Regions from separate parts of the Mus musculus genome. Here all the other regions are reported to be linked to region 1. Evidence: microRNA targets listed by miRTarBase, many of them from high-throughput screens and not tested one by one. Region 1 holds a microRNA gene; each other region holds the end of a gene's coding sequence. Distances are between the middles of the regions.
Evidence for each region. The annotated mature microRNA mmu-miR-362-5p reads AAUCCUUGGAACCUAGGUGUGAAU and lies in region 1 at 2,647-2,670, opposite strand. An mRNA with a match to its seed (bases 2 to 7 or 8) in the 3' UTR can be bound and repressed. Matches are read on the target gene's strand: a 7mer-m8 pairs with bases 2 to 8, a 7mer-A1 pairs with bases 2 to 7 and ends in A, and an 8mer does both.

Region 2: the mRNA of Nexmif is a reported target of mmu-miR-362-5p. Seed matches in the 3' UTR shown: 7mer-A1 at 3,498-3,504.
Region 3: the mRNA of Rbm33 is a reported target of mmu-miR-362-5p. The part of its 3' UTR that is shown has no 7-base or 8-base seed match.
Region 4: miRTarBase lists Pttg1ip as a target of mmu-miR-362-5p. The part of its 3' UTR that is shown has no 7-base or 8-base seed match.
Region 5: the mRNA of Ahcyl2 is a reported target of mmu-miR-362-5p. The part of its 3' UTR that is shown has no 7-base or 8-base seed match.
Region 6: the mRNA of Kbtbd11 is a reported target of mmu-miR-362-5p. Seed matches in the 3' UTR shown: 7mer-A1 at 2,554-2,560.
Region 7: miRTarBase lists Npc2 as a target of mmu-miR-362-5p. The part of its 3' UTR that is shown has no 7-base or 8-base seed match.

Annotation. Positions count from the first base shown.
Region 1 is chrX:7,239,373-7,243,678 of GRCm38, forward strand. It overlaps Mir362 (microRNA 362), which reads right to left and starts at 2,674; the gene lies at 2,610-2,674. All of the region lies in intron 2 of Clcn5 (chloride channel, voltage-sensitive 5), which reads right to left. It overlaps Mir501 (microRNA 501), which reads right to left and starts at 1,979; the gene lies at 1,871-1,979.
Region 2 is chrX:104,079,278-104,083,583 of GRCm38, forward strand. Nexmif (neurite extension and migration factor) reads right to left here. Exons shown (of 5, transcript NM_001077354.3): 5 at 1-4,006. The coding sequence ends at 3,913. Among named protein-coding and RNA genes, the nearest start is that of Gm22266, 11 kb to the left of the region's middle.
Region 3 is chr5:28,412,798-28,417,103 of GRCm38, reverse strand. It overlaps Rbm33 (RNA binding motif protein 33), which reads right to left. Exons shown (of 19, transcript NM_028234.1): 18 at 3,729-3,817; 19 at 1-3,536. The coding sequence ends at 3,488. Among named protein-coding and RNA genes, the nearest start is that of 9530036O11Rik, 52 kb to the left of the region's middle.
Region 4 is chr10:77,596,564-77,600,869 of GRCm38, reverse strand. Pttg1ip (pituitary tumor-transforming 1 interacting protein) reads right to left here. Exons shown (of 6, transcript NM_145925.3): 6 at 2,138-3,842. The coding sequence ends at 3,805. Among named protein-coding and RNA genes, the nearest start is that of Sumo3, 7.4 kb to the left of the region's middle.
Region 5 is chr6:29,908,355-29,912,660 of GRCm38, reverse strand. It overlaps Ahcyl2 (S-adenosylhomocysteine hydrolase-like 2), which reads right to left. Exons shown (of 17, transcript NM_001171000.2): 16 at 4,194-4,306; 17 at 351-3,621. The coding sequence ends at 3,615. Among named protein-coding and RNA genes, the nearest start is that of Strip2, 6.5 kb to the left of the region's middle.
Region 6 is chr8:15,028,561-15,032,866 of GRCm38, forward strand. Kbtbd11 (kelch repeat and BTB (POZ) domain containing 11) reads left to right here. Exons shown (of 2, transcript NM_029116.2): 2 at 1-4,306. The coding sequence ends at 744. Among named protein-coding and RNA genes, the nearest start is that of Gm35340, 6.1 kb to the right of the region's middle.
Region 7 is chr12:84,753,504-84,757,809 of GRCm38, forward strand. Npc2 (NPC intracellular cholesterol transporter 2) reads right to left here. Exons shown (of 4, transcript NM_023409.4): 4 at 1,056-3,709. The coding sequence ends at 3,623. Among named protein-coding and RNA genes, the nearest start is that of Npc2, 17 kb to the right of the region's middle.

The DNA.
Region 1 (4,306 bases):
TCTCTAGCCCCTCACCTGGCTGGATTCTGTGATTATAAGATTTGAGTGATCATCAGAATCAACTGGAAGGCTTAAAGAGAATATAAACTGCTCTGTGTTATGACCTGATAGGTCAGGGGTGGAACTCCGCACTTTGAATGCATTCCCATGTGACGGTGATGCTGCTGATTCAGGGATCCTGCCTTGAGAATCACCACTGTAAATGGCCATTCAGAACATGAAGCATCTGGACACGGTGGCACATCAGACCTATAATCCCAGCACCCAGAGCCTGAGGCAGGTGAACCAAGAGATCTGGGCTACTCTGGAATAGACAGCAAGTTCCAGGCTGGACTAAGCTACTTAGTTAGACCTCCCTCATCTGAATAAAAAATATACATGATATAAAGACTACTATTTTTAACATGAAAGAGATTCACTTTTCTTTTGGGATCACATGTTGCCCAGGCCAGCTTGCAAATGTGTGTAGAAAAGTATGACCTATGGAGGTGGGTATAGGAGAATCAGCTTGAGGGACAGAGCTACACAGTAAGACAGTAAGCTCCTGTCTTCAAATGGGAGTAGTGATGGTAGTTGACAAGAAGTCACTTAGTCTACTGGTCTTCGGGCTGAAGGGATGAGGAGAGGGAACAACACAATAGGCTCCATATCCACTCTTCCTGTGAGCGAGTGACTCCTCTCCACGTAGGCCCATGTGTTTAGGCATATCTAGGGCCATGGGAGGGGGAATAGTTTGAGAAATCTCATCTATCAGACCCTGCACTGAGTCATTCATACAGAATAGAAAACAAGGAACAATAGACCTAGGTCATTCTTTTGAACAGCAGTTGGTGAGTCTATAATAGTCAAGGATCTTAGTGTGTTTATTAGTCTCCTAAGAGAGTAGCACCTCTGTTCATTTTGTTTCCTGCTACATCCTCTATGACTAACAGAGCTGTATCAAATAGTGCATACCTGAATATTTGTGAAAGGAAGGAAAAGGAACAGGGGTGTGGACATATAGGGGCTCTGTCCTTTAAAGTGCAGGCGAAGTGCCACCCTTTGGATTCCTTGGACAGGACTTACTATTGAAAACAGCACTTGTGCTGAGGATTAATGTTCCTGATGAATCAGGTCAGATAATCCTCTCTGTGGGCACAAGTCTGTGAATCCTCTCCTCTGTATACACTGCATTTATATGGGACTGTGTTAAAATATGGAAGAATCCAAGTGGACAGTGTACATGAAGTCCCAGTCTACAGTCCACTCATGCAGGCATAATGGATGTGACACAGCTCACTCTCCCTGGACCATTTGCTCCCTGAACCACATGTGGTTCATACTCCTGTGGACCAAATCCCTAGTTGAGTACCTGCCATACTGAATAAATAGACAGGAAACAGTGGAAGGAGGCGTAAAGGTCCTACATGAAGATAACTCAATGTCTGAACCCTTGCCCAGGTATATTGCATTCGCAAAGCACACTCATCCAAGTAGCAAGTACTAGAAAGGCACAGCCTGCACCTATGCCCTTGGCATGTGGGTTCAACAAGAAGGCTTACTGTTCTTGCCCTGTGCATTCCTCCAAGAGTTGAACTAAAGAAGAATTTCTCTTCCAGGTGTCGGTATGAGAACTAGAATGAAAAGCTGCGCACTTATGTCAATACACAGTTTACTATGTGCCCCACTTGTTCTTGATACCTGTTAGGGTCATAAGTGGAAATAAAGTTCTACCTATAAAATCTAGGTGGGAAGAGGCCAAATTTGTCACATTTACTCTCCCATGCACCATGCCCGTTGTATTTGTAGAAGGAAAGAAGGTGGGGGGAGGCATAAAAGAAGTATGCAAGCAGCAAACAGATGAGATATGATGCACAGACCTCCTGTCCTTCTCCATGCAGATCAGGCTCACCTTCCCCAAATCCTTGCCCGGGTGCATTGCATACAAATAGCATTTTCACCCAGGGACAAAGGATTAGAGAGGATGAGCAGAGCAGAAGGCCCAGGCACCTGTACCATGTTTGTGTGGTTCTGTATATAATATTTAATTTTCCTTGTCCTGATTCAGCCAAGCATCACCACCTATACCCAAGCTTGACATCCCTGATTTATATATGTATCTGCCCCCTTCCCACCATGAGCATCCTCTCTCAGAGAAAACTTCTACGTATACAAAATGGTATCTCTCCCAGATCATACTTGAGAATTTGTGGGGGCCTGATTTATGTTTGGAAGGTAGCAAGAAGGCTGGGATCTGAGAATGCATATACATACTGAAAGAGGGCACAGTGGAGGAGGATACTCCATTCCTTTCCAATGCCTTTATACAATTCAAGCTTTGTGGAACAGGGGTTATCACTGGATGTAACAAACGGGTTGCCTGAGTAGCAGCACCTAATGTGTGCTCCTCATCACATGATCTGACACTTAGCAAACTGGGAATCAAGAAAGCTCATGCTGAGAATAGAAGCATGTCTACCAAACATGATAAAGACCATTTTGCTGTTAGAAAATGTGTAGAACCAAGTCTGACAGCTAAAACCAAAATCAAATGGTGGCCAGGAGGAGGGAAGGTGGCAGGTGAGATGTGCAAGTATGGGCCATTCTACACGCAGACAAGGCTCAGCCTCTTTGAATCCTTGAACAGGTGTGTTGCACTGAAGCAGCATTCACACCTAGGTTCCAAGGATTCGAGAGGGGGAGCAAGCAAGAAGGCTCAGGAACCTGCCCTTCCTGTGTGTGGTCAATATGCTTGTGTGCAACACACTAAAAGAGAACGAGAGATGCGCTCTGTCCTTTACAAACACAAAGGTCTGGCTCTCAGAATCCTTGCTGAAGAACACTCTCACCCAGGTAGCAAGGATCAGAGAACTGAAGCAGGGCAAAAGGCTCACAGCAAATGAACGCATGGGCTCACCTTTGACACAAGGTGCTTATCTGTGATGAGAAAGAAGACAATGTTCTTGAGCTTCACATTAAGTATGTCTAGGCACCTGAGTTCAACTCCCAGCCTCCACATAAAAGAGCCAAGCGTGAGGACTCAAAGAAAGCTAGATCCCTTGGCCTAACTGGTGAGTGCCAAGTCCCTATTAGAGACTGTTTCAAAAAACAGGGTAGATGTCCCCAAAGGGGAAGCACCTCAGGTTGACCTCTGCACCCTCCACACACATACACAGAAAGAGAGAGAGAGAGAGAGAGAGAGAGAGAGACAGAGTGACAGACAGACACAGAGACAAAGAGAGACAGAGACAGAGAGACAGACAGACAGACAGACAGACAGAGACAGAGAAACCTGTCTAAATATATACATTCATATTTTGTTCTGAGATTATAAAAATATAAAGCCAGAGATACAAAATACTGAAAGAAAAAAAGACAGAGAGACAGAGAGAAGAGGCCATAAGCTCACAAGATGGCAGTAGAGATTGGCATCCTTTAACACACATCAGCATCTTGTTAAAGTTACTTCAGATACCTGGAGGACTTGGTACTAAGATAACTTACAGAGGTTTCTCATTAGTGAGCTCAAGATTTTGTATTTCTAAAAGGGGCTGGGTGATGCTGGGGACCTTACCAGCATCATGGATAAGACAGAGAAACTGTGGAGTTTGGTATCTACAAACCCTGTTTCAAACCTATACTTCACCATGTACTGGATTAAAGAATCTACCTGCTTTCTCCAAGGTCATGGACTACTTCTAAAAAATGAGAATAACAAATGCTATCTCTTTAAAGAGTACCAAAAAAATTAGGTAAGATGCAAGCCTAGAGTAGGATGCAGGACCTGGCCCCTGGCTATTATTTTTACCTCTTACACTACCATTTTTGTACACATGTGTCTAAATGAATGTCCTGTTTACAATAGTATGGTCATACTCATATATGCAAAAGCCAGGTGAAGGAGGCATGAATATCAGTGACTCGGAGAATCTGTAAAAGGCAATGCAAGGACTGGCTCTCTGGTAATTCTTCTTCAATGTGCCTAAATCAACGAAGTTCACACCCCTTTCTGTGAGGGATATGAAAGACAAAATCACAAGTTTCAATCTTTCACTTTCCTACTATATGTCACAGAGAGTGAAGAGAGTCAGGAGTAAGGAGAGAGGGGAGAAGTAGAGAAGGGGGGAGAGCGAATATAAATGAATGACAGTAAGGCATTTTTCTCTATGAGAAAACAAGTGTATCAAACAAAAGAAACCTTCTATGCTCACGGGCCTATATATGATGTACACCTAGCTATAGATGGGCTTCATTCATATTTGTTCTCCTATCTACCCAGCTGATGCAAAAGCATATCTATGACTGTCTAGGTATGTGTTTACAAAAA
Region 2 (4,306 bases), 97 Mb from region 1:
GGACTAGCTAGTGTTCCATTTACCTCTTCAGCATAGAAACTCAACTCTAACTCTCCTCATTTCTCAGAACTGTTCTGAGTGCATCTATAAATTGTAGATCTCCAAAACACTAGTTCAGTTTGGTAAGAGCAAGGCAAAGAGGTCCTTGGATATGCTTTTCTCCTTTACGCAGTAAACACTATTTCAAAGCCACTAAAATGGAAATTCACTAGAACTGCAAGACCTCACGTGAAATAACACAGGATGGGAGTTGATTACAGCATTTGAAGCATCCTTTATGCTTCTCTCTTACACACACACATACCCTCCTTTGTGTTCCCTACCCCCCAACGATTCTTCCCAGCAAAGAAAAGAGTCAGAGAAGGTGAAAATTTTTGTCACAAAAGCCCACCTAGCACCAAGGACTTCAGAGAGATGGCTAAAGAAGTGATGAATGAAGTAGTGCAGAAAGTTTGAAAAGATATAGGAAAAGATAAGGCCTTAACATATAATTGCACAGAGCAGCAAGAAGTCAGTAGGGAAAGCTGTGAGGGAGCAGCATATGTGAAGCAGCTGAGATCTGAGACACTGGAGAGGCATAGAGGATGGCCACAGGTTCAAGCTATTTACTCTAGTCCCAACACAACCCTCAATGTCTTGAAGACCCTTGGCTGGGGCCATTGTATCTGCACTCTGCTCCATGTAGTACAGCACCTGACCACAATAAGAGATTGGACCTGTTATCACACACCTTCAAGAGAAAGCAGTTTCAGTCTTTTCTCAATGCTATGTGTGCATGTGCTCGTGCATTTGTATTTTGAGTGAATAAGACAGGGAAGGTAGTCCTCTAAACTTCCAAAAGAAAGCCTCTAGCTGTAGTTCTTAAACTTTGACAGTTTGGGATATTGAATAGAATACTACACAAGAAGAAAAATTCTAAGACTGATAAAAGTCAAGAAAGAAGAACAAGGGAGGATATAATTTCCAGGAAAGTAAAGATTAAATGAGACTCCAATGAGGAGGCATTAATAGGATGCAGCTTCTCAGAAAGGAGAGGTTAGAAGGGGGTAGTCAGAAATTTCAGATCAAGGAAAATCCAGGGTTTTTGAGTTGAAGAAATCAGTGATAGGGCAAAACACTATTTTCATACATTGGTCCTCACTCCACTAAGGCAGCTGGTTGAATAAGAGATCTCCAGTAAGTTTGGCCTACTATGTTGTGACAGAAAGGAAAATAATTCTGAGAGCAGAGGCAGGACCAACAGAATGCAAAGTGCTCAACAATGTAGAGCATAGTGTACAATAACATCTCTGCCTTGGTCTATTGCACACTCCTCAAATTCACTTTCTTGTTATGTTTCAATACAAAATGACTGGTTACAAGTCACTAGTTTATATGTTAAGAACATACAATGCATGGCAGGCCGATAAAAAGGTGCTTTAAAATGGCAGTTCTCTTTGGAGAAAGATATGAACCATGCCCTAAAATTGGCCCCTAGTGGGCTCCATAGGAGCAACTGAAAGAGTATCCACTCCAAAGGACTGATGATCAAGTTCTGACAATGAAACTGTTAGAAACAGTTTCAAGCTATCCTACCCCAGTCTTACCCCATTCTCCAAAGCTGAACATCATGATACTTTAAAAAAATCTGGGACAACTGCTCCCATATTTACTTTTATAAAAACACATTATACTCATAGAACATTTTCTTTATTTCTTCTTTAATTTCCACTTTTTGGTTACATAGAAAGCACTCCATTCCTAAAACCAAGCAAGATGAGTTTGAGGTCTGGAGTCTTGGGGATCACAATACAGGCTGAGGTGATGATTCTAAGCAAAAGGTCAGCTGCAAAACAAGACAAAAACCAAAACTGAACAAAGACCAGTTCCTAGGAAGTAGCCATCACATTTAATACAAACAGCTAGCTATTAGAGTACCAAGAAACAAAAGAAAGTGTTCTAGTTTGATTATTTTCTCTTTTGGATGGTCATTGTAGGGCAAGAGACTTGTTTCAGTTGGTGCCTTCCCACTAAATCATTTTCCAGGGCTCATTGAACACAGTGTCAAAGCCTAGGAATGTGCCTGAACTCTCCTCACAGATTTCTCCTCACCCACTCATCCCCACAGACAAAAGAGACTGATGCTGAGAACACACACAATCTAGATCATGGGCTTGTTCATTTTCCTACCTAGCTGTAAGTAGTAGAGTAAGCTGGTGAAAGGAATCATGGGCTGGGAAATGTGTATGTTTATATACATGATAGGCTCCCTTCCATTTCTCTCTGACTACTTGAAAACATTGCTTCTCTGTTTGTGAATATATTTAGGTGTCAATGACTAGGTAGGTTGCTCATATTTTATTCAAAAATGTCTTTTGAAACATCTTCCCTGTTTTATTAAGTCCCCTTCTCCCACCCCCTTATCCTCCTCCCTCCCACCCCAGCCTCTATATTCACAAGTTAATAGGTTAGTAACAATATTAGTAAGAATAGTAACAACAACAACAACCAACAACATTAATAATATTAGTCCCCTATATTGGTATAGCACTTTATGATCTACAAAGCGCTTTCACATCCATTATCTCATCTGTGCCACAATGCATCAGTCATTAGGCACATAGGCCTTAACTGTGCAAGGAAAAGAGATCAAATGGTATAAGTCAAGTGGTGAAGAAAGGGGAAGAAAAGGCTAGTAGTGAGGAATGTGGGAACTGTGAAGTTTCTAAGTAGTGAAAGGGAGGGTTGAACCAAAAATATGAATTTAAAAGGTAATTAAAAATTGAGATTTATGTTTAGTGTGTGATATCAAAAGAGTAGTCATCCTCAGACTATATGTAGATGGCCTAAATTAGTTATTTCCACATATTGTTCAGCTTTACCTGGTGGTATATGTATTTAATCATAGGAAGAAAAATTCTGTCAATCTGAGATGTCATTTTAAAAAATGACATTGGCATTGCAAGATCAACATTTAAAGAACACTAAAGCCATGTTGTGAGTGCACTTTTGACATAACTGGAATAAAACATTTAGGAAACTACTTAAATAAAAGCAATCTATGTATTTTATTTATTATTAGTGTCAATTTTATAGTTATTTTATAATTTATCCCAGGCTATTATAAAATATATAAAACTGAGATATAAAGTATCAGCAATATAACTTTGCACTTTAAATTCTTTTCTGCTACAGATTTTGCTTTGGAAAACCAACTTTCAAAGCAGCTGTTTGATTTCCTTGTGCAAGGTTCTGTAAATGTGTATACTCTGTCCCTGATGGACTTAGCTGTTGTGACCTAAGCTTTTCCAACATTTTAATCCTTAGATGATGGAACAAACACATCTTTATTGTGCCTTGTTTAACTGTTCATATTTCCACACAGGATAGTAGAGTTTAAAACATTAAAAGAATGTATGGATGTATATGTATATATATATTTAATAATCATGAATGAGTTTTAAACTGTGGGGTGAATCTGTGAGATGAAGTAAGAAAATTTGGCACAATTCAAACATTATCCTTTGTTTTGGTAAACTGTATAACACAACATATTTTCCACTGTGATCTATAGGTGCTATCCACAAAAGTGGGGGTGGTTAATAGCAAGAATCACTGGAATGTTTCTAGTAAATTAACAGGGACAAGTCCCCCAAATACTCACAACCAAATGTTGATATAGAAGTAAAACTATATACAATACAGTTACTTATTTGTAGTTTGGCACAAAGTTTTCCATTTTTTTCCTTGTGGGCAAACAGTGCATAAACTACTCGTGCAACTGTATGACTTTTAAAGTCTTTTACACAGAACATCAGATTAAAGTTTGATTTCAAAGACTTATTCCCACGATTTAAAATTCTTTTCTTGTAAGCACTTACAGGTCAACATACATACCACAAAGCTTATTTTGAAAGAAAGAAAACACAAACATCAAATGTCTTTCTGGAAAATGTGAGTCTCTTCTTCAAACACAGGTAAAACCCCAAATGCTGTTTCTGCTTTTAGGAGATTGTAGTTGGAATCCCTGCAGAAAAATCAAAGAATTTATGCCATCTTAGTAAGTTTTAGTGTATGTCCCACGAAGGGATCATACCCTGTAAATATATTAACACCATACTAGATGTTGTATGATGCAGAAAGGTAGAGAAAGCACTCCTAATTGTCATGTGCTGACAACTAATGCTCTTTTGTTTAAATGATCTTGGCTTTTTGTCTACATGACTTTTTGAATATGTTGTCCAGAATCTGTCTTTATTGCAAAGCCCTTCCATTCCAAAAATCATTCAAGAGCATGTTTTAGTTCTATTTCCTTAATAAGCAAAAA
Region 3 (4,306 bases), not on the chromosome of region 1:
AGGAAGTGCTTCCTGACTTGTGCATTTTGTCTTGGGTCAGAGGACACAGAGAAGACCCTCAGAGCACCCTATAATAAGCAAAAGCACTACTTAACTACTGCATAGACCTTTTGGGCTAGTGTTCTTATATCACTAGGACCTATCTTTGACTGGGGTCAGTCAATGGTCTACATCAAGCTTACCTGCCTAATAATGCCACAAGAAAATAAAAGACGAACAAACGAAAACCAAAAGACAGAAGACAGGGATATTCCTTAAGCCTAGTTCTCCAAGAAAGGCCCTTTATCTAGTTTATGTCACCCCAAGAATTCCCTCACATGTCCATCTGTGGGGCTCTACACCTAAGTGAAGGACCACCCTTTGGAGTCCCATCAGAGGTGTACATTACTAACAATCCATGCTATAAGACTCTCCTTACCCACCGGAGCGACCACTGTCCAGTCCTCCCTCCCATGCCTTTTAAGTTCCCTACCAGCTTCCATGAGCAGCAAAGCCTTCTACCTGCTTCAGGCAGAATGCTGCTTTGTGGGGGGAAAATGACTAATGGGTGTTCTATCCTGATTCAGATAACCATCTTGGACCGTTGCATATCACATGAGAACTAGCAAATGGAAATGATTATGGAAAACCCACCTCCCAGGCCATCAGCCACACTCCTCCACAGCAAGCCATGGGCACAGGACCTGCACAAGCAGCTACCTATTTGGATTGGGTGGGGACTGCCTCAGAATCTCTTGAAAAAGAAAAGGTGAGATTTCCTCCTCAAGAAGAGTATCAATATAATAAGGATTTAACAAATGTGGCCAAGCCAAGGGCAGCATAAGGTTATGTTCAGGTAAGCAGCTGAGTGACTCACATTCATTACAGTACAAAATAAACAAGGCAGAGAGAGGGAAAGTACCTTGTCCCCACCCCTACTCTCTACCTCAGGACAGATGTGAGAGTCAGTCCTTCAACCTCTGGAACTTGTGAACAAATAATACACAGATGAGGGTTAATGCATTGACTTACTACCATCTTTATGAAAATCAAATGTACACACAACAACAATTATGAAAGTGTCTCCATTAAACTTTGATAAGACAACAAAAGAGAACTAACAAATAGCTAAGATGTTGCTGTTTGAGTTAAAAGCATTTCCATTAACGTTTTAATCTGAAAAGGTCCATATTTACACAGTATGCTAATGCTTTTCCATCTCATTTTAAATGCATGATACACAAAGAACAGAGATAATGGTTGCAGCAGATCTTCCACCGTCTGACTTCCCTGTGAGAAGGACACTGCAAGTGGGGAATGCTCTTTCTAATTCTGCTTCTTTCACTTTCTGTGGTTTCCTTCACAGAAGCCTTTAGGACTGGCTTGCCTGGTCTGATAGTCCACCCCAAATGGATGTGTAGCAAGGTCAGAGTGAGCCGTTGTTCTAAGCAGTGCTTGGAGCTGGTCTGTCTCACAGGACACTACAATAAGGAAAAACTGGCTCATGTGTGTAGGCTCAAGTGTGTAGGCTCATGTGTGTGCCAGTTGTTAAAATGTTGGCAACTTAATTGAAAACGTAATGTAAAACTTCAGCTGTGGGCACACGTGTTCCTGGGTATCTCATCACACTCAAAGTGGCCCTGAGCTCCTCGGTCAACAGCGGTGTCGAAGAGGATGTCTCCTTACCTTACTTCAATGCTTCAGTGCCTACTTTCAGACAAAAATGCATAGTTGGGTTTTAAGGACCCAGCACTCAAAACTACTTGAGAAAGCAGTGAAACTGTTAAATTCATTTTACTGTGTCCTAACCCTCAGCCTCCTATATGGCGTCTATCTTGTCCAATGAGAGCTAACATATTACCAAACTCACCAATTTAACGAAATATCTATCAACATTTCCTGTGTCCAAATGAAATGAGTGGGAGTGACAGTGGGAGACCAGTTGACAGCACTTAGATGGGCTAAGGCCAAGCTGGGTACAGCCCCTGCAGGGCTGGCCCTTAGTGTACCAAGCAGGCGTGAGGCAGAGGCTGTGTGGTCAGAGGTGGCACCATACCACAATGTCTTCTAAGACATCCTATGAATGCCTCAGCTCAACTGCCTGGATACCAAACAACAACTGTGCCCCCCAATGCTCCTTGCCAGCACACAGTGTCATCTCAGAATCAATCCTAAGCAAAGTTTCTTGGGGCCTGGAATACCATTCTCCAGTTGTTAAAACGTTGGCAACTTAATTGAAAACGTAATGTAAAACCTTCAGCTGTGGAAGCCAGCTGCTTTGAGTCCAGAGCTCCCTCCTTATTACCCAGCGACAGTAGATGACAACAGACCTCTGTCTCCTCCATCCTACCAAGATATGTGAGATAAAATCACAGGTATAAAATACAACTAAAAAAGTCCTGAGTGTGTCCTAGTGTCAGTCCATTCTAGAGTATGACTCAAAACACTGAAGCATTCAAGGGAGAAACATAATAAGGCACTGTGTTCAATGTCTGCCCAGCATGGACTTCTAAGGGATGCTTTGTAGAAAGCAAGTCTCACCTGTTGGAATCGACTAAAATGACTAATGTGGACAGATATACTTATCTTGGGCAGCATCAGCCCTGCTGAGAAATCCATCCTTCACAAATGTGATAGAAAGGCAGCCCAAAGGAAACTCAGAGCCCTGAATGAAGGACAGTGAGACAATCAAACCAATGACAGCACGAACTACAGAGCTAGGACATTTGAAAAGCAAAGAAGCCCAAGCAGGTCTGACCACCTTTCAAGCTGTGCCTCACCCTATGCCAGGAAAACTAGGCCAAGAGGGCTGCCTGCAGGGTGGCAGAGCCACTGGCTCTGGAGTGCCCAGTGCTTGCCTAGCTAGCAATCTGAGCGTTTCTGTTGAAACAGGTGGCACTTTGGAGGTATTTATAAGAAGCAGAATCGCCACTTCCATGGCACCACTCCCAGACACCCATCTCACACCCTGGCTTTCCAGGGCAGGTGAGTGTCAATCATAATCACCCATTTTTACCTATGTTTTACCAGAGCCTGTTGATGGCTTTCTGAGACCACTCCAGTTAAGCCTGGTTGAGAACTCTTTTCTAGCCTGTACTGAAGATAAGTGCAACCATTATCAAATATTCTTTGCTGTGGAAAAAAAAATCCTCGGAATTTGAGCTGGTAACATTCTTTCCTGAATCTAAAACTCTGTGACCAATCACATAGCAGGATCACGAAGAACAAGGTCTACATGCATTATAAGCACTCGGAAACAAAAGAACACGAGAACAGAGTTCTTGTGGACAACAGAATTCAAAACAATCTAACACCAGACTCCAATCCCATGTCCACCAGTTTAAATAGCTCTCTTCTGGAATCACCCTGTGGCTGGCTGGCACGCAGACAAGTTGGCAAACTGCAGACTGGAGAGACCTGCACTTCTGGGGATCCTGCACCGACCTACAGCTTCCTTGAAGAAATTCCACAGTGTGTGCAGCATGAGGTCAGATATTTCCATTCAAGATCACTCCACAATCAGGGCCACATTTATGTGGGACAGATCAATCATGTGCCTGTGGAAATTTGAAAAGACAGTTAACACAAACTCTTATGACAGCAATTAACCAAGGTGCATGGAAGGAAGTAGAAGGGGTCTCTCCAAACAATGAAAACAGTTTATAGAAAGGATTTGGAACCTGATCCTGTTCAGCACAGCACAGCACCCTCCTCTTCCCCAGTCACCAGCTGTAGAACCCAGAGGATACCTGTGGAATTTCTGTTGAAACGCTAGTGCATGGGCTGGCTCCTTGAACTTTGCGATGGCTTTCCGCTGCTGGGGAAGCATCTGTAAACTCTAGGGGAAGCAAACAAAGACGATTAACTACTGCCAACTGTGACGTAAAATAAAAGCATGTCATGAATTTCTATATAGAATAGGAGTCTAGGATGTTGGTTCAAGCATGAAGGCAAGTCCCCAGTCCTCCATGGTCTCCCTGGGCACCTGTACTAAGCGGTGCTCCTCAATCAGCTAGGGGGCAACATGTTCACCCTCCAGTGTGATAGTCAGAGCCGAACACAGGTAACCACAGGTGAAAACAATTGCTTTGCCTGTGCCTTTCTGGAAGGCAACTTTTGACAGTGCCCTCGTCCATCTAAAGAATGGCACTCTGCCCTGGTTTACCAACAGGGTAAATGAATTTTGGGGATGCACCAGGGCGGGCTGGGGCTCTGCATATGAATGGCATATTGAGCTCTTGCTCTTCCCTTCTTGCTCTCCCTGTACCCTCGCCCCTTCCCCCACCCCTTTCCACGTGCTCATGGATGGCCTCTACTCCTCTTTTCT
Region 4 (4,306 bases), not on the chromosome of region 1:
TATAATAAAACAGCTTAAAAATTACATCAACAGCGGCTAGAGAGATGGCTCAGTGGTTAAGAGCACTGACTGCTCTTCTGAAGGTCCTGAGTTCAAATCCCAGCAACCACGCCGTGGCTCACAACCATCTGTAATGGGATCTGATGCCCTCTTCTGGTGTGTCTGAAGACAGTGACAGTGTACTTAGATAAAATTATAATTAAATCTTTTACAAAAAAATTACATCAACACCTTGGATCGAGCACTGTTCTGCACTGGCAGACAGATGCAGGGCCACCCAGCCAAGATGCCACATAAAAACTAACTGTGAGAAGCCCCAATTCACTGCAGTATGCCTAAGACACATTCCCTGGGTCAGGTGACAACTTTTTGATAGAGTTCAAAGGAATCAGACAGTGGAACAAGGCTTCAGAGGTAGTCTCTGGGACGGAGGATCTCTCAAGGCGGCAGTGTGTGGCGAGGGTAAGGGAGGCAGAGCAGGAAGAAAAGTCAGGAAAGGCTAAGAGCCAGAGTTAGCAAGCTTGGGAAGCCAGCAAGCTTGGGGTACCAACGGTTTCTCCTAAGGAAGCCAGGACAGAGTGCTAGGCAGGTCATATTGGCATGGCTGGTCATTGTGGCTGCGGATCCTACCCAGGGTGCATTACTGACCAATGCCAAGCAGCCAGCCCAGTGCTGATTCTCTCTCCCCTCTGGTTGCATGGCCCCCCCCTATCTTCCTCTTTTATCACATTCCCTCTGGGTGTGGATGGCACTGGTGCCCGTGGGACACCTTTCCCAGAACACTGAGGTAGAGCAGGAGACAGTGGCAGCCCTGGGTTAAACTGGTCTGACCCCCAACTGTGAGCCCCCCCCCCACTCCCCTCTGCTTGAGCTCCAAAGGCAGGACCAGAACTCAAAGCTGAGGCTGACCCCTACAAAGTGGGAGACTGCTTGCCCTGTGAGTACCACTTATGGGATTGAGGGGTGGTGACAGGTGAGGTCCCAACACCCAGCCAGCTAACAGCACCCATGGCTGCTTTTGGTAAGGCATGACATCTCATTCTTAAAACCAAGTGTTGGGAAGGAAGGGTTGATGTAACCCCCACCCCCACCCCAGCACCACCCCCTCTGTCTGCAGACACAGGAAATGGCTGAGTGAGCCCCTCCTCAACCCAACTACACTGTGCTATCTTCCTGCATGAGTGAATGAGAGTTCAAGCTGAGGATACTCTTGGATTTAGAGCAGTTCCTAGGTAGCTCCCCTGGAACATTAAAGATTCAACACATCTAACATCTGGCCAACTGGATCCCCAGAACTTCTCTTGGCCTTCCCACACCCATCCAGATTTTCTCTGTTATCATCTAGGGTGACAACTGCTAACATCATTTGCCCAGGGTAACCTGCAAAGGGCTGTGGTCCCAAGACAAGGCTGGGAGAGTGGGCTCCCACCTGCTCTGGGACCTGTCCTCACCTTTTGTGGTCTGTTGGCAGGTCTGACAGTTTGGATGGCCTGTCCCAGGGCTTGTGTTTCCTATAAACACGTCTGTCCAGGGACATGCCTCAGGAGGGCAGACTTTTATATCAGAAGGCTGTTGACATCCCTCCCTGCCCCCTCCCCTGCATATTTCAGAATTATGTTCTAGTTCCTGGGCTTGTAAGCCAGTCTCTTTATTTTAGTGTTAACCTGAACGCAGCAGAGTCAGTTTCCATGCCCAGTCCCCTATGTCTGTCTCTACTACAACAGTCAACAGGTTCAAGCAGCCAGGCTGAGCTAAGACAAAGGACCCTGGGAGTCAACAGCCAACAGCAGGTCACAGGCAGACTCGGCAACACCTACACTTTTATCTATGCTACACCTACCATGCCGATGGTGGGCACCCAGGGGCCAGTGTCAGCTGACAGCCATGCAGAGCCACTTCCTCGGCCCGGCCACCTTTGTACCAGTATAAAAATGGAATGCTGAGCTTGGTGGGGTGGGATTGGACAGGGCAGATGACAATAAGAACCTTTCTACATGGAGGGTAGACGGTGGTGACCACTTCAGGACTGGCCTAGTCAGTCCCTGTGGAACATGGTACACAGATGACAGGGCAAATCCACCTTACCTGGAAAGCCACAGCCCCAGTCCACCCTTGGGACAAAACAAAGAAATCAAAGTCATATTCAACCATTTTATTGGACAGTGGTTAAAAACTAAGGCACGGGGTGTGATGGTGTCAGGCTTGGTTCTGTGGCTTCATGCTGCTCAAAGGTAGGCACAGACCACTCCCACGAGCACCTGCTGCACTCCTTAGGCTGGAGAATTAAATACTCTAACATCAGCTCAGCAACCTAACAGGTACAATTTATACAGGCGACATATTAATACGAAGTTCATCAGGGCCTGTAAGGAGGGTTCCCTTTCAATAGACAGGAGAAAGATAACTCTCAATGCCTGCTATAATACTTAAGAAATGTTTGACAAGGCTTTAAGTTCCATCAAATGCCTAGCAAAGCAGAAAAATGGTAAGACTCCAGATTGTGGTAAAGGTTATTCCCTTACTTTGTGGAAATCTGAAGAGAGGAAAATATTAATCCCTGGACAGACTGACAGGTGAAAAGGTTACCGAGATGCTAGGTGAGGTCTTAGGCATGAGGGAGCCTACAGTAAGACCACCTCATCTGCTGGTGGCTGCTTTCCCAGAGGGAATATCTTTACTCCTTACCCTGCCATCAGGGTTGTGATCTGCTTACTAGGACACATCTGGATTTCAAAGAAATGTACAGCGTGGACGGAATCTCAGGGACCCGAGTGTCTCCTGACAACCTTCCCAGGGCCCGTGCGGATGTGTCAGGCACGATAGGTGAGGAGGCATGGCTGGAAGCAGGGTGGAAGTGAGGTGGGTGTCTATGCCAGCTCAGGCAGTTTTCCTGGAAGGCAGAATGGTGTGGGGTCCTCCTATCTTCCTACACACTCAGCTCCCACAATGGGATGGCCAGTGGAGATGCTGTTCATCCTCCATGATACATACAGGACCAACTCAACAGCTGCCTGATCTGTGGAGGGAGATGTCCAAGACCCTCCACAAAGCCCTTCTAAGGACACTGGAGTCCATGCACCAGCATGCTGGACATTCAGCACTCACAAGAGGATCAAACTAAATTCAGAGCTCAGGTTTCCCACAGCAGGAAATTCTCAGTCTAGTAAAGACTGAAAATGAAAAATGTCATCCAAGAGGCCTGGACGTCTCATGGCAGGTTTTGGTAGGACTGCTTCCTGAGGGATTATTAAAGACTTCAGGTGACTTTATAAGCTTTTGTGCTATTGGATGGAGCTGGGTTAGGAAGGCAATCCTTACCAGACTTAGGGACAGTGCCTTCCAAGAGGCCACCAAAATTACAACAACAAGGGCCCATCACAGCAGTGGGCCTACAGACAAAACACAGCCTTCAGGAAGCAAGGGTGGTGGTCAGTTCTTGCCTTAACAAAGTAAACATGACTCTTGCTTGTTGCAATGTGAATCTTCCAGCAAGGCCACTCAGCAGCTAGTCAGCACCTCAGGCTGCCAGCTTCGTAATCGGCTTGCAGAGTGTGGGGACCAAGTATACTTCCTCCCCCCAAAAAGGACATCAACGAGATTAAGGTCTCAGGTGATTACATACAGACACAGAGGGAACAAGAGTAGGATTGTCCTCTTAAGGCCACACTGGTGCCAGTAGAGGCTGGAGGGATCACCCAGGTCAAGGGTGGCCATGGTGGTGAGGTCTCTGCAGGCTCTGCTGGGGAGTGCATTCCCAGGAAACTCTGGAACTGCACGATCCACCACAAGTGTGTGCCAGCCACCTTAGAACTTCTCATACGGGTTTTGTTCTTTAAACAGACCTGAGGGAGAAAGGGAAAAAAGAACTCGGTTTACAAATTCACTCACTCAACTGGAAATAAGCTCACAAAAGCAATGTATAGCCTTGGGTGTTCTGGCTTATGCCCATAATCCTAGGACCAGGGAAGCTACGGCAGGGGGAGTACTGTGAGTTTGAGCCTAGCCTGAATTAGAGCAAGAAATATCTGAAACAAAACTAAGCAAGACAAAAGGCTAGGCTACCACATCTTTAATCCTAGCACCCTGGAGGCACAGACCAGTGGCTCTCTGTGAGTTCGAGGCCAGCCTGGTCTACCAGTAGATTTCTAGGCCAACCAGAGTTACATAGTGAGACCTTGTCTCAACAACCAACCAACTCCAAACCAAACAAAGACAAAGTGAAACAAAACTGCCCGCCCTACCTCTGCAAAACACAATACACCTCAGCCAAGTTTTACATGACGATTTAACCACAGTTCCAAGCAAG
Region 5 (4,306 bases), not on the chromosome of region 1:
CAGTGGAATTGGGTGACCTAGATCCATACTTTAGGTTTTTGTTTTGTTTTTTAAAATCTGAATCTCACAGTCTTCTCCTCCTCAAGGTTGTGGTTCAGAGGTGTGCTCCTTATACATAGCCAGCTGTGGGTCAAGGCGTGGTGTTCGGGGAGAGACAAGGTATTTGTTAGCAGTGTCTCAGTGTAAAACAAGACTCTCAGGGTGATGGTCACTCCAACACACCTGCTGGTAACTGCATCAGCTTTTCACATCTTCATCCTACGGCAGGTATCCTTGTTATTTTTTGCCCACATATCTCTCATCTCTGAATTCATAGTTCACAGAATTAAGTGGTATTCTCAGGACACAGATCAGTTTTAAGAATACTTTATTTTTTGAGATTACATAGTCATTATTGCTGATCTAATACAATCACTTAGACATAGAGATTTCCAAGAGCTTCTCAGAACTGGTGATCCTTAGAGGCTTTGTTCCTTTCAGTAAGATGACAGTAAGAACTAGATGATTATTTGTATAGATATGGATGTGTTTTACATATATAAGTATATATATGTTTAGACTTGTCAATGTCAATATATAATTTGCTGGTGTTACCTATTTTCTTTCCATAATTTTCCTTTATTAAAAAAGCTTAATGCAACAATGCATTCTGATTTATTTTAAACCATGACAAAAGTTAATTCTGAGGAAAAGCACAGGAGCAGCAATTTCAGATCTTTTCAGAGAAAAGCCAAGCAGCAGAAAAAGCTTTGCAGGAGTGTGTGGCCGTGGGGAGCCTGGCTCTCCCAGGAGGGGAACATGAGGAGGGAGGAGGGCAGAGGGAAGGTAGATTAGAGGCATTTTTGTTTAACAAGAAAAAGAAAACAATATTTCCACTAAAACAGCAAGAAGACCTTGAAGTAGCACAAATTCATTGTAGACAAGTGGTGTATTTCCCTCTGCCCAGGGCCACATAACCAGAGACAACCAGTCTTCTCTTCCTTGTCTCCAGGTAGCTAGAGTGCTTGTAAAAGGAAGAGTTGGAATAAGAAGAAATTTGCTCTTATTCCAAGGTTAGAGGAAACAATGATTTGGTTCCAGCATTAGGGCAGAACCTGGGCTATCTTCTTTCTTCCCAACTCTCCACAAGCCTGCTGTACTGGGATTCATTCGCCCCAGGGCCTGGCACATGCTAATCAAGTGTCCTATCACTGTCTTACATCCTATTTCTGGCTACTTTCTTAATGGTTGATGACACAGAAGTCTCCAGAGAGAAGGGAATAGATGTCATCTGTAACTCACAGGCAGATACCTCACTATGGGCAGTCAGGTACAACGTAACTTAGAAACCCATGTGGCTCCTTTTTTACTTGGAGGGGATCTCTTCCCTATGGTGTGGCAGCCATAAGAAGCTCTGTAGAGAGCTAGGCTTTGCAGAAAATCACCAGGATATGACTTGGGGCCCAAGCCAGATACCTGCCTAACGGAATCTGCTCTGGACATAAAATGAGGCACAGAGATATGAATCTTTCACTAAAGAGATCCAATTATGAGGCCAGACATAGTAGCACATGGCCTCAGGAGGCCAAGGCAGGAGAACTGCCGTGACTTTGAGTCCAGCCTGGGTTACAGAGCAAGACTATCTCAAAACAACAACAACCCCAACAACAATAACAAAAAAACAAAAAACAAAAAACAAAACAGATATGGTAGTGGGAGAGTGATTGATGCATTCCGCTAATACAGAAATCAGAATGAGGCAAACAGAACGGCCTATCTCGGTAAGGTCTTCAGTGTTTCTGATCTTCCTTATACAACAGAATACAGCCACAGATGCTGTCCTGGCAAGAGTCCATCTTCTGGGGTGAGCCAGAATGTATACCATAAGGCAAACCAGCCACCTACCCAAGTTCTGTTTCCCTATCTTAGAAAATAAGGACACTTCCAGACTAGCTTCCAGGGCACACACAAAGACCAAGGGACAGCAGAGATGGTGGAGCCAGGGGAGAAGATCTAGAGGAAGGTTTCAGTGATTCTGGGTGTCCTCTGTTGGAATGACCTTGCTCTTGATACAATGTAAAAGATGTATCAATGTAAAAGACACATGGGGAACAAACAGGAGACTTCTAAATAGGGAGGGCCATGAGAGGGACTCATTCAACTCAAGATTCCTAGGGTCACTCCAGGTTAATTCTTGAAATCAAATGATCCCAGTGGAAACCTCGAAACCACTCAGTCTATCTCCAAAGGATATCACTCTTGGGTAGAATGAGAAACTTCACACTGTTTACATTATTATTTTATAATGCTGGAGTTACTTAAGAAACTCTCTGAAACAGAATCCTTAAACAGAAGGGGCCAGATCATAATAACGATACAGCGCGGCAGCAGCAGCAGCAGCAAAGAAAGATAAGCTATCAGACTGCAGATCTCACTTTCACCAAGGCTAACAGCCAAAGGGATGAATGTCTGATGAGGTTCAAACTAGTGCCCCATCCCTTCCCCTAGTTCCCAGCGATTGAGCACAGGGCCTTACTCATGCCAGGCAAGTGCTTTACCACTGAGCTAACCTCCAGCCCTCAAACTAGGTTTCATCATCTCGACACACTTTACAAAGTCTCCTGTCTTCTGCAGCCAGGCTGCAAAGTCTTTCCTGGAAAAACTTCTTTCTTTAGGATATCAAGCTATAGCCCACTCTAAAGTCTGAAGCCCCCAAATCTCTAGCAAACACCTTCGCCAACTCAGCTCCAAGCATCATTTCAGGCACAACAGAAGCACTGTTCATACGGGGCTCTCCTTCTCTGACAGTGCCCATCTAGGGGGCTTCCTAGGAAACAGTCCAGTTAAATGGGAAGAAAGCAGAACTATGGGTCCCAGTGGAGCTGGCTGGCTACTTCCTGAGCAGAGTTTAGTAGGGTTAGAAAGTAAAACAAATGCCTGACCAACACCAGAGCTGTTAAGATCATGGAGTCACAACCCTCTTAGAGCCAGAAAGCATTGAAATGGATATAGTTAGTCAAGGAGAAGAAAGAAGTCCTGGGTAAGAGAAGAGATCCCAGTAGGCACGGACACAGGCACAGCTGAGTTCTTGGTGCAGCTTACAAGACCTTACCACTCCTGCCTCCCCAGCCTTTTTATAAGGAAGGCAGTGACAGTAACTATCAAGGCTGAGAATTCAGGCCTTATTAATTCAGTGGCTTCCAAAAGGCCTCACCTGGGAAAGGACCAAAGCTTTGAGAAAGGCAGCTGCTGAAATGTATTCAGAAAACCCTAAGTAACAAGGAGTCTGGCATCCCTGAACTAACTCCTGAGCCTGGAGAGAACATGGTCATCGCTGGGGATTCCATTAATGGGCAATAATGCGAGTGATGCACGAGGAATGGCTAGCCCATTTCTTTCCTTCCTCAGCCTGTCCTCTGTGGCTCTCACGGCCCCACGAGTTAGTAACCACACTCTGGGCCAAGGCTACAGGCACAGGATTCTAGATTTTAATAAATAAATAACCTAACACACAGGATGAGCACGGCGGGCAGCTCTGATTGGAGAAGCAGCTTGCTAGGTTCTTCCTTGGATAGTATTTGAGAAAAGGCTTGGTTCTATTCTTTAACATGTCTTCTGGCTTGCATTACAGGAACTTAATACCTGGAGGGAAAAAGAAAGTTGAAACTGATGTTATCTGCTGGTGGGACTGGAACATAAGGAGCCTGCCTAAAGGTGTAAGAGGGAGACAAGGGCTTTCCTAGTGTATATGGTAAGCATAGATATCTGTGGCTCTTTTTCATACAGTGAAAAAAGGCCATGGGCTATTGAGAAGGCTCAGTGGAGACAAGCACCTGCCACCAAGCCTGCCAGTCTCCACAGGACCCACACGGTACAAGGGAAGCTTCGTCCCACGGGTTATCCTCTGTCCTCCACACATGCAACCAGGGCACATGCATCATGAACAAGCACCCACCTCCACCTCCATACACAATTACAAAATAAGTAACAAAAATGTGATTTTAAAAGGCTAGTATTTATGGGGCGGGAAGGGGTGGTGGAGAACACCAATGTTTTAAGAAGATTTCAGAGTATTCTGAGGTAGGAGACATGGAGGAAATATGTTATTTTTCTGAGTTCACGTAAAGGTATGTGGTAACAGATACAAGGATCAGCTGCACTCTGGGAAGCTCTAAGTACCCCGCCTTCTCTGATTTCTGGGGAGCCCAAGGCACCTGTAGTAGTTAGGCTTGAAGGGTCCATTCTTGTTGAGTCCCAGATACTTGGCTTGTTCATCTGTTAGCTCTGTCAGGTGGGCATCAAAGGTGGGCAGGTGTAGGCTTGCCAC
Region 6 (4,306 bases), not on the chromosome of region 1:
CAGGTGTATTGCTACAACCCGGTCACCGACTCCTGGAGTACTGTGCGGCCGCTGCGCCAGGCACGCTCGCAGGTGCAGCTGCTGGCCCTGGACGGCCACCTGTATGCCGTGGGTGGCGAGTGCCTGCTCAGCGTGGAGCGCTACGACCCGCGAGCTGACCGATGGACGGCGGTGGCCCCGCTTCCCCGTGGCGCCTTCGCAGTGGCCCACGAGGCTGCCACCTGTAACGGAGAGATTTATGTGTCCGGGGGCTCACTCTTCTACCGCCTGCTCAAGTACGACCCCCGGCGCGACGAGTGGCAGGAGTGCCCATGCAGCAGCAGCCGAGAGCGCTCTGCCGACATGGTGGCCCTCGACGGCTTCCTCTATCGCTTTGACCTGTGTGGGAGCCGTGGGGAAGCTCAGGCTGCAGTCGGTTCAGGTGGCGGGGTCAGCGTTTTCCGCTACCATTGCCTGGCCAAGCAATGGAGCCAATGTGCTGTACACCTGAGGCCCCCTGGCGCACCCGCAGGCCTCCAGCCCTTTCGTTGTGTTGCCCTGGATGGTACCATCTACTGTGTGAGCCGCGCCGGGACCTGGCGTTTCGTGCCTTCTCAGGACACCGAGGCTGGCAGCGATATGGGACCTGGTGGCAGCTTTGAGCCCGAGCCCCTGGGATCCCCCCTGGATGTCCGGGGCGTACTCTTTCCATTTGTACTCAACCTGCCTGAGAAGCCGGACCGCGGGGAGCAGGGTGCAGTCTAGGACAGGATCGGCTGGGCAGCTCCACTGTCCAGCATTTGAGGGGACGGGGGTGCTCAAAAGAGTGGGCTAGCCCCCAAACCCCCAGTGGGGGAGGAAGGGCAAAGATGTCTCAGGAATAGAGGAAGCAGAAAGGCCAGGCTGCTGGCCATAGTGCATCATGCAAACGCTTTGAGAGTAAAAGAAGCTTCGCTGGCTCTGAAGACATTTTCCCAATGCTGTTTTAAGCCCCGCTTTGCCGTGCTGGATTCTGCTCTTGCTTCGCTTGTTTAGTGAGGGGTTCATAGTTTAAAGTGTGGGAAGATACAGATAAGCCCATCCCTAAGGGAAGAGGTAGAAGAGGCCACAGATAAAGTAGGATGCAGGTGCGGACTCAGGTGTAATGAGGAGCCTGTCCAGTCCCCTCCTTACCAGTGAATGCAAGACTCTCAAACCTGAATGGGGTCCTAAAAGTAGGCTAGGTATCCTTGCAACAGCAGAGAAAAGGCCAAACCCCGCTAGGAGGTTTAAAATGATAACTTATACGATCTGCGTGAGACCCAAAACGTTCACCCAGTGGTTTGCAAGTTTTTTGTAGGCTCAACTTCAAAAAGTAATTTGTCAAGTACTGAAGGCGAATCACTTGACCAGTCGAATTGCCTTTGTTAATGGTAATGTTAGCAAGCAGCATGCTGAACCGGAGAGGACAGGAAGCAAGGGTGGAAAGACCTCAGGTCAGGAGGCTCTGGTAGCTCTGCGTGCTCACCTACTTTCCTGTCTTAGAATGAACTAGGGCATTTTTCCCCCCTCTCCCTAGAACAAGGAAGTTAAAATCATGTTTTGACAGTTGCATGCTCTGAACTCTCTGCTTGGTGATGTTTTGAATGTATCTTCTGTGATTCCAATGATGGAGATGAATTTACAACCATCTCGAAGGTGGTGTGTGTGGGGTGGGGTGATATGGAGGAGGAAAAGGAGAAACACCTGAGTTTTGAGTGTAGTTTAGCAAGTAAGTGACATTTAACTTCCAAAGTTACCCTACTAGAGTCGGAAGGAGACTCATACTTAGACACGGTTGCAAGGACCAAAACCAAGTCCGTTCATTTTCTCCCATGTGTCAGGATGTTGTGCATTTGAGAATACACAGGCAGGGCTTCCCATTTATAAACAAGTTAAGGGCAAAATATGTGCTCCCAGATAACTGGTTTAGATCCCATAGCTAGCCCACTGATTTATAACAGTGGGGCTCCTAAGCATTCGGAGTTTCTGGAACATAGAGGAAACTTCGCATCCACCCTGTCATCTCCATGGAAACCGTTAGCTGGGGGGTGGGGTTGGGGAGGTGGGGGTGGGAACTAGGTTAAGCTTTATAGCCTGCTCTGAAAGGTCACAGTGGAGTGTGTTTGGAAACAGCCAGCTCGGGTCTCCTGCGTGACCCTGGGGGGATGGAGTTTATAGTTCCTGTTTGTATGTTCTGGCCTCTCTGTGCTTGTCCGTGGTTACCCATAAACCAAGGGAATGTCTTGGCAACTCGGTTAATCATCTTAAGAAAAAGAGGCTTCCCATTGCCTGGTTTTATTGGTCTTTGTGAGGGGTGTCCTGGAGAAAGGCTTGCAGACAAGCAAAGGGAGGCAGAGCAAAGGGAGACACCCCGTCATTCCTCAAGCACCAGGCTTATAGAATTCTATCATGTGACTCTTGCCTGAGAAGCCATTCCTCTGAAATTCGAGTTTGGGATGACATGTCCCTAGAGAGGACAGATGTACATCAGACAGACAAGTCTTCTGCGCGCATCATGCCCCACAGAACACAAACAAAACCCAAGGAAGTCAAAAGGATAAATATATCTATTTACGGATCATGAAAGAACATTAGTTTGCTGATTACAAATAGAGGTGTGGCCGACTTGTTCTTTTTGAGAACATATAAAATATCTTGTGCCCTGTTTGTAAACAGTGGTCCCCCCATTGCAAACAAATGCTACAGGCCCTGGCACATCTCAGCAACCATGCATTTTGTTTCTGGGATCTGGAACCACCCATCTGTCTTAGATTCATTGCTCCTTGATATAAGCAACTTAAGGGAGAGAGGGTTTATTCTGGCTCAGAGTTCAGGTTACAGTCCACCAAGCTGTAGAAGTCCTAGGGCAGGACCTTGAGGGAGCAGGTGCTACTGTGGCCTGCAGACAAGAGACAGCATTTAATGCATAATGCCTGTGATGATCTGTATGTGGTTGGCCCAGGGAGTGGCACTATTAGGAGGTGTGGCCTTATTGGAATGGGTAGTCACTGTGGGCATGGTCTTAAGACCCTCATCCCAGCTGCCTGGAAGCCAGTCTTCTAGCAGCCTCTAGGTGAAGATGTAGAACTCTCAGCTCCTCCTGCACCGTGCCTGCCTGGATGCTGCCATGCACCCACATTGATGACAAAGCACTGAGCCTCTGAACCTGTAAGCCAGCCCCAGTTAAATGTGGTCCTTATAAGACTTGCCTTGGCCATGGTGTCTGCTCACAACAGTGAAGCCCTAACTAAGACACTGCTGCTCAGCTCAGCTCCCTGTCTCCATTTCCAGGACCCAGTCAGGAAATGCTGCTACCATAGCGAGCAGCTCTTTCCCTTCTAATTAATGTAATCAAGGCAACTCCTCACAGGCATGCTCAGAGACCTATGTTAACACCCACCTTTGCCCCCACAACAAGTGGGAGTGAATTTGTTAAGGTGTTAGTTTGGTAGTGAGGGGAGTGAGCTTTGCCGAGATGTGGCTCCAGTGTGTGAACCAGGTAGGTGCTTCCTACACATGGGTCCCATTCTGCCTCTTAACTCCACCTAGGAGTTTGGTTGGCATGAGCACAGATCTGACCGTGGGCTAAGAGTCAAATAAGGCTAACGTGCTTGGGACACCCATTCTCAGTTCTGGGGACATTAACCCTTGTACAGAGCCACCCCAAGTGTTTGAAAGGACAGTGCCATCTTAAGGAGTAAATGATTGACAAGACACACAAAGATTGACCTTCTGTTTGGTTGACGGGTGATTACATTTATATTGCCAAGATTTGTTTGGAAGCTTAGCAACAAGCTAATGTTTCTCGATTTTATTTTTCTTTCTGTTTTGTTCTTTGGCATGGGACAAGCCCCACCTCTAGTGCAGACACTTGGCAGCTCGGCCGACTTGAAATGTGCTTCTGCTTCTAAGGAAACGATGGCAGAGGTTTCTTCTACTCTAAGGGAAGTGAGTGCTGGGGAATCTTGCTGGCTGCTTATTTTCTTACTTGTATCAGTTTTGTTATATGGAGGGTGGGAGATGGGGGGGAAACGATGTCCCTCTAGTCCTGGTGGTGTCTGTGTGACCTGTTAGCAAACATTGTCCAGTGCTGAAACGGAGTACCTCAGAAGGGTGCACTGTTCTCTGCTGAAGTCACGGTAGAGTCAGGACATGATGGTTCGGAATGTCTCGTTGGCAGATGTGAGCCCAATAGCTCTTTGGTGTAGTGTTTTCTCTTTAGGCTTACAGAGAGTTTTCATTTTCATATTCAGTTTTTTTTAATGTCCCCATTTCTTTTGCAATATTATTCACAAGAAGGTAATGA
Region 7 (4,306 bases), not on the chromosome of region 1:
AGGCTCAGATAATTACTTATTAGTGTGCATTTGATGAGGATATCAGTTTGTCATTTTCCTTGTATGGCAGTGACAACCTTGGATGTCAGTCCAAGTTTAAGACAGGAATTTGTTTGCCACCCCATACAGCAGGCAAGCTGATGCATCCAGATTTCACCCCCCCCCCCAATTTTATTTCTTTTAGGCCTATGGGTGTTTCGCCTGCATGTAAGTCTGCTGCTGTTCAGGCTCCGCGTCTCTGTCCACCTTGGGTGACCAGAGTGGCTTCAGATCAGGCAGTTATGAGTGCAGCAAGAACAGACTCTTGGGAGACAGCTCCAATGGGGGAACAAAGGCTGCTACGCAACCTTTGGGGCGTGGGTAGGGGCTTTTGGAGTGAATGTACATCATTGGCCTGGGGCAGGGTGCTGGGGTCTCATTTGCATAAGGAGGAATTCCAGGTACCGATGGACATGACCTTATAAGGGAGAGGAAGCTTGACCTGGCTACTTGGCTGTGTAGCCTCCTCCAGGGGGCAAAGGCGGTGTGTGTGTGTGTGTGTGTGTGTGTGTGTGTGTGTCCCAAGCTTCATGCTCCAGGACAGGAAGGCTCAGAGCAGGGGTGAGGGTGGGGGGACGTGGGGGTGCAGAGACCTTACTCCTGCCAATCTCAGGATCAGATTTCTGGGGTTTGGACACACCTTTACCCCACTTTTGCTTTGCCACAGTTCCTACCCTCGATTCATGGCTCCCCAGTCCCAAATAAGTCCGTGTATCATGTGTATGCCATGCCCGAAGAGGGTGTCTGACCCCCTGGAAGTGCAGTTACAGGGAGCTATGAGCCACCATGTGGGTGCTGAAAACTGAACCCCAGTCCTCTGGAAGAGCAGCCAATGTACTTAACCACTGAGCCATCTCTTCAGCCCCACATCTCGCTTTGTTAGTGGGTTCTGGGGAGACCTTTTATCCTTTAAGCCTCATCTCCAGCCCTGTTTTTTAACACACACACACACATACACACACACACACACACACACACACACACACAACTTCCTTCAAAATCAGGCATCCAGGATCTGAAATGATTCCACCCCTTGATTTTTATTAGTATGAAGATCAGACCATAGCATTGGGGATCTTGAGATTTACCTGCCTCAGATTCCTGTAAGGGAAGAGTGGGTCTAAGACTCAAGGTTTGCACAGAGACAGGCAGTAGAAAACACGGGGCCCTTTGTATGCTTAGGATTCAAGGCTTCTGTGTTAATGACTGTGAACTTTCTTGTAGGGATGACCTTTCAAACTAATCCTCCCATGGGAGACTACCTATCTCACAACTGCAGGCTCCACTGAGCCTCCCAGTGGCCCGTAAGCAAACAGTCCTAAGCTGTTGGGTCACCTCCTGTTCTGATGAGGACACAAGGGCACTAACAGAGCTTCCTCCTCCCACCCCCCATTTTTTCGGGTTTGAGAGCTGTTAGTTGCAGAGCTAAAAAGGCAAGAAGAATCTGTTGGGAAAAGGGAGTCAGCAAACACAGAAGTGAGTTTCTCCTGGCCCCTCAGCAAGCTCCCACACAGACGATAGCTATGTTTTTCTGAGACACATTACACATGAGATTGAGCCTCCGGATTTTCCTATTTCTAGACAAAAAGAGCAGCCTAGCACAATGGCTCACACCGACAGCGTGTATACCGCACGCCCTGACTCGTGTTTTACATGCCTCATTTCACTTCACATGGCGCTACCATTGTCCCTGGTCAATGGATTAGGAAAATCCAAATTGAAGCACGGAGAGATGGAATCACTTACAGCTCACATTCACAGCTGAATAACTGGAGGAGCCAAAATTTAACCACGGGCAGCTGGAAGCAACGACCTCAGCAGGTAACTACTTTTGGAGTTCACATGATTCTGACTCATATGGGAAGATAGGGTGGGCTCAGGGTGAAAGGATACACAAAAGACCTCTGTACAGTGGGTGAACAGGTCACCGGTAAGAACTTCATTATTGACCCATTGCTGCCCCCTGGTGGTTTGCCTGGGAAACTCACAGGTAAAAAAAAACCCGCAAGCCTCCAGTCCTATGCTATTCGGATTTTATGAATGGGGGCCTACACTGGCAATCTCAGCACTTGAGGTAGAAGCAGGAGGCTCAGAAAGTCAAGGTTCTCCGATACATGGCTAGTTCAAAGCCAGCCTGAGATACGTCAGACCTCATCTCAAAAACAGCGTGTGCATTCCCTACCAAAAACTATGATCCATGACCATACCTGTCAGTCATCTTGAGATATAGTAAAGGGAACTGTTATCTGCTATGATGTTCTCTCTCCCCATCTGAGACTAGGTCTCCTTTAGCTCAGGCTGGCCTTGAGCTCATTTTGTAGACGGGGTTGGTCTCCAACTTGCAGCAGTCTTCATGCCTCTGTTGCCTTCTAGAACTGAAATTGAGTCAGGGAAGGGTGGGACGGCAGAGTGGTTAAGTCCAGGCTGGTGTGGAACTCACGACCCTTCTGCCCCTTGTCGGCTTGGGCCTACTTCTTTATTTAAATGGATCTCACTATGCTGCCACTCGGACTGGCCTGGAACTCACATCCCTCCTGCCTCCATAGAGCCACAGCCTCTTCCTCCCTCTCCTTTCTAGGCTTCCCCATGAGGGCGCGTAGTGTCCCCGTCACCACGCCTCCTCAAGTGGTGCTAGGTGGTGGTTGCTGCTTCAGGCACACTGACAGCAATGCAGAACAAGGCCACTTTCTATGGATAAAGTCTAGCTGGTATAAATAAAAACGAGGAAAGAGGCGGTGCCCGTGAGTCCTGTGAGTCACATCTTCTCTAGAGCTTCGGAACTGGGTGGCTGCCTGCTATGGACCTAGGAGGCTGCCATCTGGAAGAAGTAGGCAACCACAGACTGAACACACACGCAGGAGTGGCAAGTTAGAATTTATGGGGAGGCTCAATCTTACATGCAGAGAGAGGATACAGACAAATACCGTTAAAAAACAAAACCAAGCACCTGCAACCAAGTATTGGCTTTAATGAAAACTACCAAAGAACGAGAGCTAACCACAAAGACACAGCCACTCAGAGACAAATTTCTGCGGCAGACTGCCCCTCAGCCAGTCTGGATACCGAGGAGAGCTAGTCGCTACTGCTGAAGCGATGGGGCAGAGGCTACCAAGGAGACTCATCTGACTGATAAGCCAGGGGCTGGGGACTCAGGAGGCACTTAGAAACAGGGGAGGTAACACCCCCAGGCAGCCAGAAGACTCTGGGAAGCCATCCTTCACAGTGGATCCATAGCCCTGGGTCAAGTTATCTGACATCCCTAAGCAACCCCGTCCCATCCTGTCTGGTGGAACCTGCCTGTAATCCAACAGCAAACAGCCATGGACACCAATCTAATCTTTCCAGTTTCCCCTTTCCCTCCCGAAGCCTCCCCAGAGGCTATCTCGGGGGACAATGGCTCTGAGCGCGCTCTCAAGAGTAGTAGGCTTGCAGTTACTGCTTTGGAGGTTAAAAGGCATAAAACAGCATTCTTGAAATTCTGTTCATCATATGGCACTGATTCCATTTCGGGTCTGATTTCTGTTTCTTCCCCCCCACTCCGTCCATGGCCTCTCAGCCCACACAGACACAGGCGCCAAGGAGCCTAGCTTGTGATCTGAACTGGGATCTCCCAGCAGAAGAGATTATTCTTTTTGTCATCTTCAAGTTTCCATTCCACCACCAGTTTTATCTGGAAAAGAGAAAAAGAATTGGAAAAAATGAAACTGGAACCTTGATTTTTATCCATAATTGGCTTAAGCGTGCACTTTCAATTCCGGTTCTTTTTAAGTCCTATCTATCACCTTGAAGCCAGATTAGGGTAGCCCACTACCTGTGATCTTAAGCTCAGAAGAGTGAGCCCTGTTAGTCAACGGTATCCTCCAACCTAGTCCAGTTTATGAACGTAGTCTTCTAAGTGTGCTATTTCTTTCCCCCTTCTTTCCTGCTTACATTAAAAAAAAAAACAAAAACATTTTTTATGTGTATGAACATTTGTCTGAATGTGTGTGTATGTGCCCCACTTGTGTCCCTGATACCCACAGAGGGCAGAGAAGGGAACCAAGCTCCCTGGCACTGGAGATGGTTGTGAGCTGCCTCTTGGGGCTGGGAATTGAACCCTGGGTCTTCTGTAAGAACAGCTAGTGCTTTTTTTTTTTTTTCCCGAGACAGGGTTTCTCTGTATAGCCCTGGCTGTCCTGGAACTCACTTTGTAGACCAGGCTGGCCTCAAACTCAGAAATCCGCCTGCCTCTGCCTCCCGAGTGCTCGGATTAAAGGCCTGCGCCACC